Canis lupus familiaris: one gene and its partner. The protein of the gene in region 1 interacts with the protein of each later gene in a pairwise test. Links are inferred from orthologs where the notes say so. Each region holds a gene or a part of one and is shown in the gene's direction. Other genes may lie near its edges.

Evidence for each region. The genes of interacting proteins can lie anywhere in the genome.
Region 2: the proteins of DTNB (region 1) and SPZ1 interact in binary tests that used the Homo sapiens proteins (3 or more experiments, as listed by UniProt). The two-hybrid records come from large-scale screens. The link is inferred for Canis lupus familiaris from reciprocal best matches to the Homo sapiens genes DTNB and SPZ1.

What each region holds. Positions count from the first base shown.
Region 1 is NC_049238.1:19,846,840-19,850,491, reverse strand, and holds part of DTNB (dystrobrevin beta), read left to right. Parts: intron 1-1,692; coding exon 1,693-1,798; intron 1,799-3,652.
Region 2 is NC_049224.1:26,863,636-26,867,400, reverse strand, and holds SPZ1 (spermatogenic leucine zipper protein 1), read left to right. Parts: upstream 1-1,423; 5' UTR 1,424-1,697; coding exon 1,698-2,801; 3' UTR 2,802-3,132; downstream 3,133-3,765. UniProt on the Homo sapiens protein: Transcription factor that binds to the DNA sequence 5'-CANNTG-3'(E box) and the G-box motif. May play an important role in the regulation of cell proliferation and differentiation during spermatogenesis.

The sequences.
Region 1 (3,652 bases):
GTATTTCTCAAACCTCACTACCAGTGCACAGCTTTCTATAAAGAGCCTTTGGATGGTAACTTCCTACTGTTATCAAACAGTAGGAAGCCCTCCATAAGCCCTCTTGCTTGCCCCTGCCCTACCCCTATTCAGTGTTGGCCTCCAATCTCTGTCCTCAGTTGGAGGCTTTCCTTAATTTTTCTTCCTCTTTTTCAAGTTTTTATTACAAAAGTCTCTTTCTTGCCTTGCCATCTACTTTATCTTCCTTTTTCTGTTCCCTAATTACCAATTTTTTTTCTTAAGATTATTGTTAATAAGAATTATCTCCTTATGTACAATGGAATCAAGATTCTCATAGTTACCAAAAAGATACACAAAAACAGAGATCCCTGGGTGGCTCAGTGGTTTAGTGCCACCTTCGATCCAGGGCATGATCCTGGAGACCTGGGATTGAGTCCCACGTCGGGCTCCCGGCATGGAGCCTGCTTCTCCCTCTGTGTCTCTGCCTCTCTCCTTCTCTCTCTCTGTGTCTCTCGTGAGTAAATAAATTAAATCTTAAAAAAAAAAAAAAGTCTAGCTGGGGAGGTGGTGTTACAGGGGAGTGATGGACGTTGGATGTTTAGAGTCTATTTTCATCCCTATTTTCACTATCTCTGTGACTGGGTCTAATTACTTCACTTTTCTGCACTTTAGTTTTCTTTCTGTAAATGAGAAAGTTGTCAAGTGATTTTTAACAGTGTTTGCTCCTCACTTTTGTATGGACTCAACGATTACTTATCCAGTGCCTGTTGTGTGCCTGGCACTGTTATGAAATGCTGGCAAGGGACGCCTGGGTGGCTCAGTGATTGAGTGTCTGTGTTTGGCTTGGGGTGTGATCCCAGAGTGCCGGTATCGGGATCAAGTCCCACATCAGGCTCCCTGCATGGAGCCTGCTTCTCCCTCTGCCTATGTCTCTGCCTCTCTCTCTGTGAGTCTCTCATGAATAAATAAATAAAATCGTAAAACAAAACAAAACAAAACAAAACAAAAAAACCCAAAACCCCGAAATGCTGGCAATACAGTAAACAACAAATGGAGTAGTTTCTGCTCTCAATGATGTTGTTCTATAACAAGGTGTGGAATGTCTGTCTACCCCACAGGTAAGAGAAATAGTAATTTGAAGGGCAGCTGAGTTCCAGTCCTCGCTTTATGTGATTTAGGTAGGACCTTTACAGGTTATTCATTCATTCATTCATTCATCCCCTAAAGATTTACTTATTTGAGAGAGAGAGAAAGAAAGAGAATCCCAAACAGGCTTCCTGCTGAGTTCGGAGCCTGAAGCAAGGCTCAATCCCACAACTCTGAGATCATGACCTGAGCTGAAACCAAGAGTCAGATGCTCAACCAGCGGAGCCACCAAGGTGTCCCAAGATCTTTATAAATCATTTAAATGCTTTGTTCCTTCTTTTTCTCATCTGTAAGATGAAGATAGTGATATCTAAACTATTTACCTTATATGGTTAAGACTCAACGTGTGTGGAAATGCATTGAATATAGTGGTAATGTACAATGTGTTGCAATGTCTATAGTAATGTAAAATGTAATTGTACTTTGCTATAGAATTTCACATGGAATTCATTACAGCTTGGTTGAGAAACTTCTAGATTAACTTAATTTTGGAATTCAGAGGTACTTGAAGAATATAAAGTATGTTTGTTTTTCTTCTCTTCACAGAAAAAGATAATGCTAAATATGTTTTTAGACACGATGATGGCCGATCCTCCTCCCCAGTGCCTTGTCTGGCTACCTCTCATGCATAGGCTTGCCCACGTTGAGAATGGTAAGCAGAACTTTTGTCATTCAGTCTCGAGCTATAGGCAATATATGAATTTCCGGAGATTTGACCCATATCTTTGTCTTGCTTGGAATTGAAATGGTAGTTATCTCCAGTAACTTCTTAATTTTTTCTTTTTTTGTTATCGGTTTATCTCCTTGTTTAGCTTGTGTGAGTTTGATAAAGGAAAGGCTGTAGTTTTTATGTAACCTCCTCCTTTCTCTCAAGGCTCTTGGTGTTTCCTATTCTACCAAAGAGAACCAGTAACAGCTGAGAGGTGCTAAAAAGCCAAGCTCTCTTTTTCCCCTTTGTAAGCATGAAATACACGTCCACACTGTCTTCTCTCTCTCATCCATGCCTTTTATTTTTATGTTTTTTTTTCTTTATTTATTTATGATAGTCACACACAGAGAGAGAGAGAGGCAGAGACACAGGCAGAGGGAGAAGCAGGCTCCATGCACCGGGAGCCCGACGTGGGATTCGATCCCGGGTCTCTAGGATCGCACCCTGGGCCAAAGGCAGGCGCCAAACCGCTGCGCCACCCAGGGATCCCGCCTTTTATTTTTAAACCTCTGAGCCTTTTGCCCCACTGTGGCTTTAGTTCACAGCTACCTTAGATTCAGGATTATTTTCTGAAAGGTGTAGACTCTCTTGACTAAACTAAAACAGTTAAAATTAAAAAAAAAAAGGATTTTACTTATTAGAGAGGGAGGGAGAGAGTACAAGCCAAGATGGGTGAAGGAGGGGCTAGGAGTGTGAGAAGCAGGCTCCCTGCTGAGCAGGGAGCCCTGACTTGAAGCTCCATCCCCAGACCCTGAGATCCTGACCCGAGGGAAAGGCAGACCAAACACTTGACCCACTGAGCCACCTAGGCACCTCAGCAACTAATTTTTTTAACTGGATTTTTGGATAGAGATTTATATCGTTAAGTTATTATAGTATTATTGGAGTATTATTGGCTCTTTTGGAGGCAATACTTTTAAAGCCTGAAGTGTTTTAGGACTTTTATATTCAGTTTGTTTTATAAAATCATTTTGTATCTGCCATACCATATAGAAAGAATCTCATTTGTCCTGATTTTTGTTATCCATATGAACATTTTATTGTGACTTTGTGTATAGTATTTATTGATTACATTCTTATGGGGTTAGTGATATTTTTCTCAGCTACAGAGAAATAATATGAACTCATTGACATATCTTGAAAATAAAACATTTTATCTATCACAATAACATTTACCTACATATCTTAATTTTTATGTTAGGGAAATAAATTCTAAAATTGTGGTATTTCTATATGGTATTGTAGTTTGGGCTCTTTCTATGAAATTCATCACTTGAATTATGTTGAAGTAACTATAGGGTAGATATCTACACAAAAATTGTGCTTTTTATATTGGTTTACTAATCCAACTATATTGTTTATAAGAAGATTACAACATGATGCATTCTTCCAAAAAGAATACTTTTACCAAAACCTGATCTTATTTGTAATTGACCCAGTACACTTAGTGATCCTCTCCACATTCTGGTTCTTTCCATATCCACCTGGTCAGCCCACTACACAGTCTAATACAAGCACTGGCTCTTGACTGGTATAGAAGTGAAGAAGAATTACACAGATATATATACATGTTCAACCAAGATTATCAGAATGTACTTAATAATTTAATATTAATGTACATATATTATTTAATATCAATAAAAATTATTGTATAGAATTATAAATGCTGGTATGTTGATGTTGACTCTGTTGATGTGAGCTCTAGATTGATTTGGAAATAGTGTTATTTGGTAAAACTTTACTAGGTTGTATAGTTTTAATTTGGAGCACAGATTCTTCTTAGTACTTCCATTATGC
Region 2 (3,765 bases), on another chromosome or scaffold:
CAATGCAAAAGGCAGAAATTAATTACCAAATCAGGGAAAAAACTTCCCTTATTGTGAAGATTAAAACATTATCTTAAGTGATGGTTTGAGCCAAAGGTGAAATAGCAACAAAATTTGGAACTTAAGACATAGAATGAAAGCAAAAGGGCAATTACTAGCTTCTATGAATTAGAAAAGGTGTTCCTTCTTCAAGTAGAAAAGAAAGATGGTTATTATCTTCAGACAGCCAAGAGGCAACAGCTCTGAGCCCAGCCGGCTGGAAGATGAGCACGAGGCTCAAGGAAATTAAAAGCAGAGTGAGTTGGTAGCTATGAAAGAAAAAAGCATAAGCTTGTTTTCTCTAAGGCAAATAAAAAAAAAAATCCACAAAGCCTACTAGAGTGTGAGTTTCCCCTTAATATTGGAAGCAAAATTGTAGTTAGTAAAGTACTTGCTAACAAGACTTTGAAGGCCAAGAAAAAGGCTCACTTAAGGAATGTTTTCTTTGAATTTAATATTCTCAAGGTCCTGACTCTTAGGCTAAAAGACAAAGCCCACTACAGGATTTAATTGATTAAATTGATTAAATGATTACAATTTTATATCACCTGTAAATGAATCAGGAGCAAGCTTTTACTTAACCTGTCTTAAAGGATGCTTGTATTTGAAGCCAAGAAAAGTCCCAGTTTGTGATTGCATTAAGAAACCATTCAGATATTCTCTTTTTACTGCAGTAAAATATTTTCTTTTCTTTTTTTTTAAGATTTATTTATTTATTTATTCATGATAGACATAGAGAGAGAGAGAGAGAGAGAGGCAGAGACACAGGCAGAGGGAGAAGCAGGCTCCATGCAGGGAGCCCGATGCGGGACTCGATCCCGGGACTCCAGGATTGCGCCCTGGGCCAAAGGCAGGCGCCAAACTGCTGAGCCACGCAGGGATCCCCCTGCAATAAAATATTTTCAAATGGAGCGATTTTTAAAATTATTTCTCTAAACTCACAAAAACACGCAATACTTTTGGGTTCTGCTTTCTTTTATGGTAACATCTCTCCTAGAATGGGATCAATAAGCTCCAGGTGCTATGAAAGTCCAGGGAAGATTTCTCACACCATGCACTTCGGTGGTAAAACAAAACAAAACAAAACAAAACAAAACAAAACATACTTCAGTTGAGTTTGGGTTTGTAAGTAGTGGAAATGACATAGGGAGGTCACGGAATACAGTTAGAACAAGTTGAATAAAAACCTAGAAAAGTAGGGAGGGAAAGGACAGGCATAAAGATCTTTCTGGGCAGAAGACTAGGAATAGTTCAAGGTTGGTTTTGATTCATGAGTCACTGGGCAGGGGTTTAAGGGGCTTCTATTGTGACAAAAAGAAACAGAAGCTGGAGATAGGCTATGATAGTACAGTGACAAAATAAAGACCTAGTTGCTAGGGTCAGGGAGTAGACACCAGAAGCTTGGAGAAGGACAGATGGAGCCCTAGCTCCTGGTCCCCTTTCTCACCCTCCTTCCCCCCTAGGTCATCTGAAATGTCACCTTTCACCTAATCATCATCTCCTTGGTTTCAGACCTTAACTCTGGTCTCTCGACTTCTGCTTAGTTCCACATTCTCTACCCTTTTGCAAAGAGGACTACCACATTCTCTTCCTGGAGACTTTAAGGCTTTTCTGCTTGCCACATGCTCTAATCACCAGCCCCTCCTAACTCAGCTGAGATGGAAGTGTCCACCCTCTCCAAAACTCTTAAGCCAACTCCCGGTCTCAATCAAGAGTCTTTGGGCCCTAGGATTATCCTTGCCTTATTTGAAATTGGATCACTTCCTCCTGTCTCCTGGTGTTTTCTCCCTTCCCCAAACAATAGTGACCATCAAGTAGCTGAACAACAGACTGCACAGAAGTTTGAAAATCTCTTAAAAGATATTAAAGATATCATTAAAAATGTGACAAGTAATGAAGAAAAGATCACAGAAGTCAAAGATTCTTTTGAGGAAATCAGTATTTCTGAGGATGTGTCAGAACTTAAAGAAAAAATCAGAGAACTTGATAAGATAAATGAAGTGTTATTGAACAACCTGCTTGGTTGCTCAGACCTAGAGAAAGAAGAGAATGCAAAAAAACAGATGATAGTGGAAAACCAGAACTGTAAGGACACGGTACAAGTCTTTAGAAGTGATTTGGTAAATTGTTCAGAAGAAAACAGAGCCCTTGATGAAACTCAGTTAAGTAAGGAAAAAGCAAAATATAGACTCCCTCATGTTCAAGAAGAAAATATCAAACTTAGGAACAACATGGAGCAGTTACTACAGGAAGCAGAACACTGGAATGTGCAACATGCTGAGCTCAGTGAACTAATAAGAACATATCAGAAATCTCAGAAAGATATACAAGAAACTCTTAAAAATAATGGAGCACATTTCCAAACTCAATCAAATGAGAAGGTGTCAGCTCAGCATGAACTGGAGGAACAAGTGAAAAAACTGGAACATGACACATATTCATTGCATTTGATTTCAGCTTTGCTGGAAAATGAATGTCAGATCTTACAGCAGAGAATAGAGCTTCTCAAGGAACTCCATCATCAGAAAGAGGGAACTCTGCAAGAGAAGCCAATTCAGAAAAACGGTGAAAAGGACAAGAAAAAACAGAAGCTATCAGCAGAGCATAAGCCAAAAATGCAAGAAAAAGAGGGTACATTTCAGAAAAAAGACAAATTCTACAGAGGCCTGGATGCTGGTAGCAAGAAAGCGCTTAATAACCACTTCAATACTCATATTGCAAGAGGAACTCCTGTGGAAAAATCATCCAGCAGCCTAACTTAGAAAATACCAAAAGTAGAAGAAAAGGCAATTCTTCAAAAACTGTAACACATCAACTCTAGGCATAATCAATCATCAAACCTAGGATAGATCTGCTGGTTTGACAAGAGTAAACCATAGAACAAGAAGATTAACACTTAGATTATTCATTACCTCAGTAGTTATGTAAGTTTGGTGTTTCATGACCATTAGTGCCAGTATCAAGTTCATAACCTGTCGTACAATTTGCTTGTTTTTTGTATTTATTAGAGATCCTATGACACTGTAACCAAGAGGGAGAAGTTATAGGTCCAATTAATAAAGATCTAAATAAAAACTAGAATAAAAATGAAAAGTTTGTTTTATTTAATCATTTACTGGGTAAGGGGAATTCTGGGAGGAAAAAGTATATGACCCTTTTATTGTGAACCTTTAAAGCTCATGATTGAAATGCATGTTTCCTTTTCCTGTTATCTACTGAAGTGTGGGAAGTAGTGACGTAAAGAAGAAAAAAAATGCTGATAAACCAACCCAGAGTAGTTTTTCTCTTCTCATAAGTGTCCCCATTCCCTAAGTACTGTTTTTCATAATATTCCTCTCCTGCTCCTCCACTAGTGAACAGTGGGCATACCAAGCAGCAGAGGCCCTTGGCGAAGGATACGTCAGTTGGTTTAGAAGAATAGATGTATATCTAGATTTTGTTCTGTGTTGGCAAAATTCTTCCCATTCCTCCAGGTGGGGATAGTAGAGTTACCCAAGGGAAAAAGCAGTATTTTCTATTGAGGGACCTGGGCTTCTGGGTCGCCTGGGTGCCTCAGTGGTTGACTGGCTGCCTTCAGCTCAGGGCGTTATCCCGGGGTCCCAGGATCGAGCCCCACGTTTGGCTCTCCGCAGGGAGCCTGCTTCTCCCTCTGCCTGTGTCTCTGCCTCTCTCTGTGTTTCTCATGAATAAATAAATAAAATCTTAAAAAAAAAAGGGGGGGGGGGA